Linked DNA regions of Oryctolagus cuniculus. The main gene of each other region encodes a partner of the protein of the gene in region 2 in a complex. Links are inferred from orthologs where the notes say so. Each region holds a gene or a part of one and is shown on either strand. Other genes may lie near its edges.

Evidence for each region. The genes of interacting proteins can lie anywhere in the genome.
Region 1: the proteins of NFKB1 (region 2) and KPNA4 are in contact, whole or in part, in a crystal structure (PDB 7LFC), measured with the Homo sapiens proteins. The link is inferred for Oryctolagus cuniculus from reciprocal best matches to the Homo sapiens genes NFKB1 and KPNA4. Residues at the interface, in NP_001158884.1 of Homo sapiens: Glu357, Glu358, Val359, Gln360, Arg361, Lys362, Arg363, Gln364, Lys365, Leu366, Met367; in NP_002259.1 of Homo sapiens: Arg96, Lys97, Leu99, Ser100, Ser101, Asp102, Arg103, Pro105, Phe133, Trp137, Thr140, Asn141, Ala143, Ser144, Gly145, Thr146, Ser147, Thr150, Gln176, Trp179, Gly182, Asn183, Gly186, Asp187, Asn219, Trp222, Val225, Asn226, Arg229, His230.
Region 3: the proteins of NFKB1 (region 2) and NFKBIA are in contact, whole or in part, in a crystal structure (PDB 1NFI), measured with the Homo sapiens proteins. The link is inferred for Oryctolagus cuniculus from reciprocal best matches to the Homo sapiens genes NFKB1 and NFKBIA. Residues at the interface, in NP_001158884.1 of Homo sapiens: Lys251, Ile252, Val253, Arg254, Met255, Asp256, Arg257, Thr258, Ala259, Pro326, Lys345, Leu348, Tyr350, Ile353; in NP_065390.1 of Homo sapiens: Asn108, Asn109, Leu110, Gln111, Arg140, Tyr181, Pro214, Cys215, Asn216, Arg218, Tyr248, Gln249.

The regions. Positions count from the first base shown.
Region 1 is NC_091435.1:120,182,790-120,187,093, reverse strand, and holds the start of KPNA4 (importin subunit alpha-3), read right to left. Parts: upstream 2,806-4,304; 5' UTR 2,521-2,805; coding exon of another isoform or gene 2,452-2,520; intron 1,900-2,451; 5' UTR 1-1,899. UniProt on the Homo sapiens protein: Functions in nuclear protein import as an adapter protein for nuclear receptor KPNB1. Binds specifically and directly to substrates containing either a simple or bipartite NLS motif.
Region 2 is NC_091439.1:62,714,506-62,718,525, reverse strand, and holds the start of NFKB1 (nuclear factor NF-kappa-B p105 subunit), read left to right. Parts: upstream 1-1,217; 5' UTR 1,218-1,352; intron 1,353-4,020.
Region 3 is NC_091443.1:40,158,565-40,162,514, forward strand, and holds the start of NFKBIA (NF-kappa-B inhibitor alpha), read left to right. Parts: upstream 1-1,145; 5' UTR 1,146-1,352; coding exon 1,353-1,579; intron 1,580-2,164; coding exon 2,165-2,273; intron 2,274-2,601; coding exon 2,602-2,812; intron 2,813-3,065; coding exon 3,066-3,154; intron 3,155-3,272; coding exon 3,273-3,533; intron 3,534-3,649; exon of another isoform or gene 3,650-3,812; coding exon 3,813-3,860; 3' UTR 3,861-3,950. UniProt on the Homo sapiens protein: Inhibits the activity of dimeric NF-kappa-B/REL complexes by trapping REL (RELA/p65 and NFKB1/p50) dimers in the cytoplasm by masking their nuclear localization signals.

The sequences.
Region 1 (4,304 bases), on a different chromosome or scaffold from region 2:
CCCATCATTAATGTTCTTTAAGGGTAATAAAAGACATTTCTATCTCATTATGAGTTACTCTGAGTAAGTCACACTGAAGAAAAAGTATGGCCTCTGTTATAGTATATTTCATTTTGTTAAGTGTGAAATGAAAATATTTCTATTTCTAATGACATATAGGGGTATCAAAGTCAGCTGAGGATGCCAGCAAGACACCTCAAACTTCTCAAAACAGAAACAAGTCCTGTTTGATGTGTAGATACTTAGTGACAAGCAGCAAGGGGAAATAGCAATCTTTAAAATGAGGATAACTTTAGAAAAATAATCTGGCAATCCCCAATTTTTTTTTAAGTTTTCCATATGACCTAGTAAATTCCACCCGTAGATACATGACCAAGAGACATGAAATGACACCCATACAAATGTACATGAATGTTCACAGAATTACATATTCATATATACCTAAAAAGTGGAAACACAAATGTCCATCAACTTATGAATGGATAAACAAAATGCAGTACATCCATATGCTGGAATATCATTCAGCCATAAGAAGGACTGGAAACACTGATACATTCTTGTCACAATATATATGAACCTTGAAAATATACTACCTGAAAGAAGCCAGTCACAAAAGCTCACAAATTGTGTAAATGAAATGCCCAGAACAGGCACATCTAAAGAGACAAAGTGGTTGCCTGGGGCTGGGGTAGTTGAAAAACGAAGAGTGACTGCTAATGAGCACCAGTTTCTTTTTTGAGGTAAGTGAAAATATTCTAAGAGTGATCCCGGTAATGGTTGCACAACTATGTGAATATGCTCAAAAGCCACTTTTAATGGGTGGATTATATGGTATGTGATTTATAACTCAACGCAGGCAGAAATGTAGAGAAGAAAGGGCTATTTTTTTCTGGACTTTGTTACTGGTATTCATCAGTTTTTAAATTTTGTAATTTGCAATTTCTTCATTCTAAATAGATATTAGTTAAAAAAAAAAACCTGTTACTTTATTGGCACAAATTAATTTACTGAAAATAATACTGTACATTTAGAAGGTTGATTTTTATGGCATGTGAATTATCTCAATAAAGATGTTAAATTTTTCATTAGAAAAAGGGATCATAAGGATTATATCTCATGTTAACCAAAAAGCAATCATAGAATTAATGGCCACAACTCCAATACATAGTCTCTCAAACTATGCAACCCACTAAAACAGCACAAACTACCTCAGAGATCTGAATGGCTTTGTGAAAAGCCCCCAAAGTAAGTTAATAGTCAAGCAAATGCTCCAGTTCAGAAAAAGGCCAGGGGAATTTGAACATCTCACTATAAAAATGCAGAGAGGGATAACATAAAAAAATACTTGACCACTTTTTCCCTTAAAAGCTGAACTCTTGATTCAGATGTAGAAGATTTAAAAACAACAAAAACCTATTTACTTGAACTCTCAAAGCTGAAGGGAAGATAGTCTTGTATCAGAAATCTGACTGTGTGCATACACACACCTTACACAGACCGAGAACCTCGGGAGCAGCTGTATCTAAGACAATGAAGCTTTTTTCCCCCTTTTAAATAATAAAATGTGATGGTGCCATTCCATAGCCCACCCCATCCCCCACCACCACCACCAGCAGGTGGAGGGAAAGGATACTGTAGACTAGAGGATGACAGCTTTGTATAACCCTTTGGACTTTCTATGTAAGAATGCAGCTGGTGGTCTCCTCTCAGGAGGGGATAAAGAGATTTGTGGACAAGCTGAAATAAGGGGTATCCTCTGCCTGGAAGAGGGCACATCGTGAGCCACATCTTGAAACAGCTATATCCAGAGTAAAAACACAGGCCGCTGGAAGGCACTGTTAGCATCACCAGGATGGCCTCTCACGCCGGGGGTGTTTTTTTCAACGGAGAAGTTGACTCCTGTAGTTTGGACATCGGGGGGAGGCAGGGGTAAAGCGGGAGTCGGGAAGACCAGAGAAAACGCCTTTAAGTGGAGACGTCTCGGGCCCCGCCGAGGAAGTTCCGAGCCCCACTCGGTCGCCACACGCTCGCCCCCGCCCCCCGCCGCCCTCCTTTCCCGCGGCGCCAGACGTCGGTGCCGGGGCGAGAGCCGGCCTGGCCGCCGCGGCCGGGGAGGGGGCCGGGCCGGGGAGCGCCGGCCGCACGCGCGCGCCGCTTCCACACACGCCGCGCGGCCCAGCCCTCGCACCCGCGCCGGCCCGGCTCTGCGGGGCAGGCCTAGGCCGCGCCGGCCGTGGCCCGGCACCTCGCTCCCCGGCGGAGGCGGAGCAGGCCCGACACAAACTTCCCGGCGCGGTAGCAGAGGCGTCACGGGCGGGCCGGCCCCCAGCGCCATTCCCCCGCGGCCCCGCGGCGGCGGCGGCGGCTCCCGCCCCTGCTCCCCACTCTGAGTCCCGGCGGGCACCGACCGCAGGCCCACGGCTCCCACCCCTCCAGCGCCTCCGAGTTTACCTCCAAGTCGCGGCCTTTGTTCTTGAAATTCTTGAGCCGTTGGTTGTCCAGTTTCTCGTTGTCCGCCATGGCCGGGCCGGTGACTCCTTCCCCCGCCCGGGCCCCGCGGGATCCGCCCCAACCACCGCGCCGCACCGACACTCCCAGGAACCGGGCCGCCGCCTGAGCTGCTCTGCCCGCCCGGCCGCCGCTTCCTTCCTCCTCTCACCTGCCTCGGCCGCGGCCTTCTCCTCCTCTCCCCGCCCGCCCCCCCGCCCTAACCCCAGCGCGACGGCAGCTCCGGCGAAGACAACTGCGGGGCCGGGCGGCGGCAACGGCGGCGGAATGTGCTGCCGGCTGAGAGGGGGAGGCAGCCTCGATCTGAGGGCCCCGGCGCCGCAGCCACGCCCATCGCCGCCAACCGTGCTCGCCGATTGGCCGACCAGGCTCCGGCGCGCTCGACCAATCGGAAGGGTGGATGGGGAGCGGGGGCGGAAAGAGCGAACGGAAAGGGGAAGCGAGGAACGCAGGGAGGAAAGGGCCGGGGGCTGGGAGGGTTCGGAGGGGAGGGGTAAGGAGGGGCGCGGCGGGGGCAGGGCAGGGAGGGACCACGTGCAGCTGGAGAGCAGGGGGAGGAAGCGAAAGAGAAGTAGACTTGCGGGGAGGCGGGGAAGAGGAACCCGGGACCGCCGCGCAGACGAATTGGTTTGCTCCGGTTGTCAGGGCAGCTCCGGACCTCTGGCGTCCAGGGAGGAAGCCGAGTTAAAGTGGCGTTCTGTCCACGTCCCGCGCACCCTGCCTTCCAAGGCATTCCTTGCGCGCTCCGCTCGCCTTACCAGGAACCGAGCCACGACTCTGTTCCATCGCGGCTCGTGCGTCAGCCCTGACTTTAGTTCTCCGGCGAGGGGTTGCGGGCGTCCGAGGGTCGCTCCTTGGGGCCAGGACTGGCTGGGGTTCTCCAGGCAGCTGCGGAAGGCCGAGAGGGGCAGTGGGTGGAAAAGGAGAGGGGCCCATTAGACCAATCTAGTTCGTCCTCTCCGAGCAAGGGCCCGCAACAGGTAGGAAATTGGGTAGAGCAGATCCAGTGACGATACCACTTCCTAGGTGTTTCGTCTTGACAAAGTTAAAGCATCTACTTGGCGGCGAAGTATTAGCTTCTGGAGGGCGTGAACCATGGCACCTGCCGCAGAACTGTAATATTGTAACTCGTTTGAAGGGAGTAAACTCCCGGGATACTTTCTGTACTGGGAACATCGTTATCAGAGGCAGAATAACGCAAGACACAGAAGAACGTATTCAAAAATTTCAAAATAAGAAGACGAAGAATTGGTTTTTAAATGTATTTAAATACCAACTAATAGCCCCTCAAATGTGCAGGGATGAGAAACAGCAACAAACCGGGTGGAAAGCAAGGGATAAAGGCATTGGCTTTGTTTAAATCTGGTAAGATAGGGGAAGAAACTGTGCTACCGACTCCTTTGGGAACTTTGACTCTTGGTCCTTTCTAATATATTAAGTAGAACAGCATGCAGAAATAAATGTTGAGATGCAAATGTTCCTTAAGTAAACACTTTATAAAGTCAAAGGAGGAAAAATTTAAAGGCGGGAGCTAGGGTGCTGAGGGAAATCTGTGGATTTAACGAGTACCAAACGACCGAGTTCCCTTTCAGAGAGGGGGAAATGAGGAGAGCTAGAATACTGTAGGAGCTGCTTGAAGATGTTGTAAGGTGGAGGAGGGGGTAAATTCTTAGAAGCAGAGCAATACCTTTAAAAACCTTAGGAGTCTATACTTTGAGCTGGGCTATGGCTATGGCAAACAAGCTGTGTCCGGAAATCACATTGTATGTAAATTAAATACAGATCTTAAAATACAA
Region 2 (4,020 bases):
TAGCGCAGTGTCAGGTGCGGGCAGCAGCTCAAATCCAGGAATGGTGGTCAAGGGGAGGCCCGTCTGCAGGGGCCAGTAGCAGTCTACCCAGCAAAAAAGTAAAGAAGGAAAGAAGGAAGGAAGAAAGGTAAAAAGAAAAACTCCTTTCTGCCAAATCAAGATTTCCCTATGACCCGTGAACCAAAACCATCGCTGCCACCCTCACTCTCATTCTATCCACGGTAATCATCAAAAGGCCCGACCGTAGCTCTGGGTGGAAGCTGTGAATAACTGGCGCAAAACCAGGAGATTAAAGACCTCGCCAACGCCCAGAAGATGTTCCTACTGCATTGGACCTAAGTCAGTTATGCTATCGGAATTCCAGTTTACTCTGTGAGGAGATTCGGGTGTAACCGAGACGGACTTAAATGGAACATACAGATGAGATTTATTTTTGTAGCTGGCAGGCTTGGATGCATGCCGACCCCTCATCGCCGCCAGCTGCTCGGGCCTGCCTTTCAGGACTCCGGACCGCCCGCTCCCACAGCCGCCGCCTGCTTGCCCGGACAATTCGGGCCCGCAGGCGCTTCCTGGGGACGTCCCCGCTCGCCCCCAGCCCTCCAGGCTGCGAGAGCGCCGGGCCAGCAGCAAGAGCCCTGCAGGCCACCCGAGCGTCCAAGGCCGCCTGAGCGCGCTCCGCGTCTCTACGCTGCCGCCAGGGGCGGGAGCCGAGCCGCCCCGCCAGGCCGGACCGGGGGCGCGGGGCGCCTCCACAAGTGCGGGCTTTCCCCACCCCCGGCGGCGACCCCACCTCCCGCCCCCGCGGCGTGCGCGCCTGTGTCCGTCTGTCGGTCTTCTCTCTCGACGTCAGTGGGAATTTCCAGCCAGGAAGTGAGAGAGTGAGCGAGAGAGCAAGAGAGAGAAGTGCACCAGCGAGCCGGGCAGGAAGAGGAGGTTTCGCCACCGGAGCGGCCCGGCGACGCGCTGACAGCTTCCCCTGCCTTTCCCGTCGGTCGGGCCTCCAGCCGCCGCCACCGCCACCGCCGCCCTTGGCCTGAACGCCGCCTGCCTCCCCGTGCCCACAGACCGGCGCAGCCCAGGCCGGAGCCGCCGGGCCAGGAAGGCGGTGCAGCGCCGCCCGGCTGCCGAGCGCCCCGCGCTTGCCTCCGCCCGCGCTGCGGACATGGCGCGGCGCTGACGGGCCCGGCCCGGTCCGACCGCGCGCCTGCTCCCGCGCTCCGACCCGCACCCGGGCCCGCTCGGGCGCCGGCTCCAGCCGGCTGCTGCCTCTTCCTTCGCCAGCGCGCAGGCCCGCGCCGCCCCGGAGGGCAGCCCCTAGGCGCCGGGAGGCCGCGCGCGGACCCGCCACCAGGGTAAGCCAAACTCGGGCAAGTGGGGGCCTCGCTGGGGACTGGGGGCCGCGTCCCGCCGCCCACCCGGCCCGCAGCCCCGGTACGCCCCCTTGGCCTTCCTCATTCCTGCGCTAACCGCTGGGCCAGACCGTGGGAGGAGGTTGACAGTAGTTGAGAGGCACATGGGCTTTGGCGACTGGGGGGAAGGCACATCCGGACTGCGCGGGGCTGTGCGGCCGAAGGGCCGCGGCCGCCGGAACCCTCCAGTCTCCTGAGCCCCGCTGCCCGGCGAGCACGGGTACCAGAAGCGACTCTTGGAAACTTTTTTTTTAATCCACACCCCTTGTCTCTGTCTGGGGGTGTCTGGAGGTTTGGGGTACGCTGCGGCGCGGAGGAGATCGGGGAAGGTGGTTGGTGCAGTGCAGAACCAGATTTCACCTAAGGGCGTTCCATGAAATGAAAGCAGAAGTGCTTGTCAGTTCTCTAGGTTGGAAAAGCCCTCCCCAGCTTCCCAGAATTAAACAGGAGAGCCTATTCCTCCCTATTGGACTTCTGAAAGAGAGAAGCCCTCGCTTCCCACAAGTGCCCGGCGTGTGTACATACATACGCACACTCACACACACAGCGACAGGGCCTAATCTGTTCACCTGCTGTTGGACCTGCGCATTAGTTTTCAAAAAATGGGGGCCTGGTACTCATCCTCCAGGGCCTGGCGTTAGAGAAAGATGAGAAATCACACTTAGAGCACTTTTCACTGGATTATGTAAAGCTCTGGACAGTGGCATCGTGCATTGTGCCTAACCTCGAAAACCAAACTCATGATATAAACCAAGACTATTCTAAAGATAAGTTTTCTTATGAGCTTTTAAAATAGACTCTGATGGACGTGTTTAATTTGGCCTATCCTGCAACTTAACTGGTACTTAATGATTTAGGATTTAGTTATCAAGACTGAGGACAATTTCTGATCTTTTAACTAGAGGTTTTCAGCATTGCAGCTTATGAAATAACATTGTTTAACTCCAAGGTTTTCTTATAAAGCTTATAATCTGAGAAAAATGTTATGGTATTGCTAAAATATTTAATAGTTCTAGCATCAGAATGTTTTTCTACAAACTGAAGATCTTTGGTAAATACTAATACTTGAAAACAAAATTATCAATAATTATTTTTCTAGCAGGATTCCTCAACTGAATATTCTTGAATAGTTTTAACTGTATTAGTGTGTGCTGGAACTTTAAGAAGGAAACTTAATTAAAATAAAACCCTTAGCTGAAGTATGTTGTTTTCTTGATTTTAATATTGTGCTTTCTAGAGATGAATCCTTCTATTGTTTTATGTACTAAAGAAATTAGGTAAATAAAGTGAAATGCTTTTTGAGCTGATGAGCTCAGGAAGATAGGAAATCAAAAGAGGTGTGTTTCTTTTGGCATTTTACATTTATCATGGAATTGAATTCCTAAAATGAAGGGTGTGTATATGTGTATGAAATGGAAACAGGAAATCTCATAAAACTGTTCATCCATATTGATATACCTGCAACTCCTCAATGCCTTCCTTCACTTGTTTAGGTAAAATGTCTTCTTGGGCAGCCTAGTAGGCCAACTTGAACACAGAAGACTCATTGTATGTAGGTTTTAATGCTGGAAATTAACTGCTGCTTGTTGTGGAAAGTGTACCACTTTTAAACTACTTGAAGAACATATTTAAGAAAACAGTATAATCCTATTAGGAGTTGGTGGTGATTTGCAAATCTGTTATCCTAGTTTTGAAATTGCAGTTTTATCTTCTGTGCTACAGTTGGCCCTCACGTGGGCTGAGTAGATGCTCCTGTTTTTCAAACTCAGTAAAATGAGGAGTATACCCATAAAAATGGTCTTGTTCCCCTTTGTGAGCACTCCTTTGATCTTTGCACTTCCTTTTACTCCTACCACTTAAACAATATCATTTGTGATGACTGAGTTGGAGTTGGTTAAAGCTCAGTTATTCTGAAATAGGCAGGTTTATAGATCTACTGATCATAGTCCTTGCATTTCTCTTATCATTGTTCCTTGAAACAAATTGAAACTAGATTGAGTAACTAATATTTATGCAGGTTGTTTTTGCTACTGTTTTTAGAGTTCCAGGTAGTGGATGAAGTAAGTTACTGCCCTGACTTTGAGGGATTGCCCATTGTGTTAGATAGGAAATTTAGATAAACAGTTGGCAGCTTACATGGATCTTGGACAATGATTCAATCAGCAAACCCTTATTTTTACCTAATTGAAGTGAGATATTCCCCTGTTCAGAAGAGGCGAAAGTTCTGGCTTCTGGGGGGAAGTGGTTACTTCCTAACCTTCAATTAGTTTGAACTCAAAGAGTAGAAAAGTAGTTCACAGTTTAAAACCATAAGTTAAAGTAATTCTATCTGTGTTGTTATACAGATTTTTGATGAGTGCTCAAAATATCTTACCTTCAGAACATACTAGTAGATGTGCTTTTCAAGGAGGTGACTGCTGTAGGAAGTTAGATCTGCAAGAGTCGAGAGAGCAGTTTAACAGTGAGTAAATATTCAAATTACGCTCTTCTGTCTACAGATTGAGCAGGATTCACATTCATATGGGCACATATGAATCAACAGCTGTGCAAATTTCTCCTTGATTTGTCTTTTAGTGGGACGGTTGTTTTGTATAGGTGGTTAATTGGCTTT
Region 3 (3,950 bases), on a different chromosome or scaffold from region 2:
TTCCATATGGGGGGAACAGGTGGAGATCCGAGGAGAGGCAAGGGTTGCTTTGTACCTGATCAGTAAGGCGAAGGTGATTGCCACAACCTCCAGAAACCTCTGCAGAGGCCCCTGGAGCTCATGCTCAAAGCCGATCAAAGCCGATTTGATTACCTGCACCAATTCCAGAAGTAGTTGAATTCAGCCCAGTCTGCCGCTTCGGGGGCCGGAGCATAACCTCTCTAAAGCCAGGGGATTCTCTCAAGAGTGGCACTGCAGGAATGGCTCCAGCTACTGCCCTCTCCCAGAGCACACGGGGGAGCCGCCTGGAACCTCCCGCGGGGGGCCTGGCAGTTACTCTTGGCCATCTTTCAGGCCCAATCCTGGGTAAGACACTAACTGCCACCCATTGGTCAGGCTCCTCCCAATGCTGAAAAATTGCTCAGCTGGGCACTCAGAAATAGGCTCAGGATCCATTTCCTGCAGCACAGACCATGAACTTCGTTACTGCAAGGTTACCTGCAACCCCTCCCACCAAGACGAACTCCTTGCTTAACAAAAAGCAAACCCTTGAGGCCCCACTGAGCGCTGACCCCTCGCAGGGCGAGATCTGTCCCTCCCCCAGCCGACAGGCCTGTTAGTCCCCAGGACGGGACTTGGTTTAAAACCCAGCTTCTCCCCGAGGGGGTCGGGACGCCAGGAGCGCTTGCACCCTACAGGGCCGGGAATCTGCGGGAACCCAGGGGCCGCCCGCGAACTGCACCCAACTCTGGGGAAGACAAACCCCCACGGCCAGCCACCGTTTCCACTCTTGCGCTTCCGCAAGATCCGAGAAAACGGAAAGGACCGGCTGGGCGGCAAACCCCAAAGAGGAACGGCCCGGCAGGTCTGTGTCCTCGGGATCCCTGCAGCAGACGACCCCGAGTGCAATCGGCCGTGGGAAACCCCAGGGAGAGAGGAGGGCCCTGCAGGGTCGGCCTGGCCGCGCGCGGTCCGCAGGGAAGCACCGGGGCGGCGGCGGCCGCCGGGCCCGGAGGACTTTCCAGCCACTCAGCGCGCAGCGAGAAGTTCCCTGGACATGACCCCGGTGGGTCATCCCAGGGAGTTTCTCCGATGAACCCCGGCTCGGAGTTTAGGCTGCCTTTTTTTTTCCCCTAGCAGAGGACCAAGCCAGTTCTCTTTTCTGGTCTGACTGGCTTGGAAATTCCCCGCGCCTGACCCCGCCCCCAGAGAAATTCCCCGCCAGCGTTTATAGGGCGGCGCGGCGGCGCTGCCGAGCCCACAACAGTCGCAGCGCGCCGCCCGCCAGGAGCCGGCGACAGGACGAGGACGCCAGCGCGCAGCCCGCGGCCGAGCACCTGGGGAGCAGCGCCATGTTTCAGCCGGCCGAGCACGCTCAGGACTGGGCCATGGAGGGGCCCCGGGACGCGCTGAAGAAGGAGCGCCTGCTGGACGACCGCCACGACAGCGGCCTGGACTCCATGAAGGACGAGGAGTACGAGCAGATGGTGAAGGAGCTGCGCGAGATCCGCCTGGAGCCGCAGGAGGCGCCGCGCGCCGCCGAGCCCTGGAGGCAGCAGCTCACGGAGGACGGAGACTCGTAAGTGTCGGGGGGCTGAGGGCCGCGGGCCGGGCGGGGGGCGGCCGGGCCTGCAGCGCGGGCCCCGGGGCTGCAGCACAGCCGGGCTGGAGGGGGGGGATGGCCGTGCAGCGCCGCCGAGTCTGCCGCAAAGCTGCGGGGCGGCCGCGCGCGGGCCGGGGCTCCTCTGGGGGCTCCTCGGGCCGGCGGGGAAGGGCGTGGACGGCCCCGTCCCCGCACACCCCGAACCCCGCAGCCCGGCGCTCGCGGCGGGGGGCGGCGCGGCGGCAGGGACGCCGAGTCCCGGGTTGCATAAGGCGGGCGGGCGGGCGGGCGCCGCGCGGCCGGCGGGGGAAGTACAGGGCGTTCCGGGCCGCCGGGAGGGCGGGGCGGCCTGGCCGGCGCCGCCGCGGGGGGGGCGGGGCCCGGAAAGTCCCTGGGCGCCTGCCAGGAACACTCAGCTCATAATAACCCCGCGGAAAACACCGCGGCCCCGGCTCCAGAAACCCCGGCCTTGCGCAATCCCCCGCAGGCCGCGCCTCCCCGGGGCCCCACGCAGTGCGCTCACCGCCCCTTGCGGGGGGTTTTCCCCTCTCTGGCCTGCAGGTTCCTCCACTTGGCCATCATCCATGAAGAGAAGGCATTGACCATGGAAGTGATTCGCCAGGTGAAGGGAGACCTGGCCTTCCTCAACTTCCAGAACAACCTGCAGCAGGTGCGCCTGTCGTCCCCAGCCCTGTGCCCTCTGTGACCTCGGGATGCAGTCGATGTGGCACAGTCCTCCCCACCCCTAGCTCTCTGAAAGAACAGCCACAGGTCCTTACCTGCCCTGGCCTTTCACATTCCAATAAGCCGGTCTCCTGCAGAGTTAAAAGCCCACGGATTGGGTGAGGTCTTTGCGACCCACCCGGGGCCCTGGTCTTTGGCCCCCTGTCCCTGTCTGGGAGGAGCAGCACCCACCCCCGGGAGATGTCTGCGGCTCAGGGGCACTCGGAGGACGACTTTGCGCCGAGGCTTATCTGTGCTCGCTCTCCCACTCGTAGACGCCGCTCCACTTGGCTGTCATCACTAGCCAGCCAGAAATTGCTGAGGCACTGCTGGAAGCTGGCTGTGATCCTGAGCTGCGGGACTTTCGAGGAAACACTCCGCTGCACCTTGCCTGCGAGCAGGGCTGCCTGGCCAGCGTGGGCGTCCTCAAGCAGACCTGCACGGCCCAGCACCTGCACTCCATTCTGCAGGCCATCAACTACAACGGTACGCTGTGCTGTCCCAGGCGGGCGGCGCGGGGGAGGCGGGCTGGCCTAAGGCGTGCAGGGCAGAGCTTAAACTCCCAGCTTGTGAAAGCAGGAGGAAATGAGTATCAAGCGCCTGTCTCAGGCTGCTGGAATGTTCATTCAGAACCCAGATTCGGGCTCCTTAGAATTCAGGGGCCACATGTGCTTGTCCCATGAGTGACTAGGGGGACGGTGAAACAGGTGGTGATGCTCTCTTCCTTCTGTCCGTCTAGGCCACACGTGTCTGCACCTGGCTTCCATCCACGGCTACCTGGGCATTGTGGAGCTGTTGGTGTCCTGGGGTGCTGATGTCAACGCCCAGGTGAGTGCCTCACGAGCCAGGTGGAGTGCTGCTCTTTGCCAGCAACATGTCAGCCACACTGGCTGCACGCAGGAATGCCAGACGCCTCCTAAGCATCTCACACTCCTCTTGGCTCTAGGAACCCTGCAATGGGCGCACGGCCCTCCACCTCGCCGTGGACCTGCAGAATCCGGACCTGGTGTCGCTCTTGTTGAAGTGCGGGGCCGATGTCAACCGGGTCACCTACCAGGGCTACTCCCCGTACCAACTCACATGGGGCCGCCCCAGCACCCGGATCCAGCAGCAGCTGGGCCAGCTGACCTTGGAGAACCTCCAGAGGTTGCCCGAGAGTGAGGACGAGGAGAGCTGTGACACGGAGTCGGACGGCACGGAGGACGAGGTGAGCCCCATCCCCTACCCTGCCAGGCCCCTTCCCTTGAGCAGCCCTGGGATATTGGATAGAGCTCTCCGACTGTATAGAACCCCCCCCCCCCAATAAAAATAAAAGTAGCTTACCCTTCTTTAAGCAGCAAATCCTTCAAGGGAAATGCACTCAGCCTGTCAAGTTCATTGCACGGCGGGTGGGGGGATCGGAGCTGCAGTCGCAGCCAGGGCCCTGGCCTGCGGCCTGCAGCCCCGGGCTGGGCCTTGGAGGTTTACTCTCCTCTTCTTCTTCCAGCTGCCCTATGATGACTGCGTGTTCGGAGGCCAGCGCCTGACCTTGTGAGCACCAGGCGCCTGGAAAGCACGTGGACTTGTATATTTGTACAAAAAGAGAGTTTTATTTTTCTAAAAAAAAAAAAAGGAAAAAGGAAAA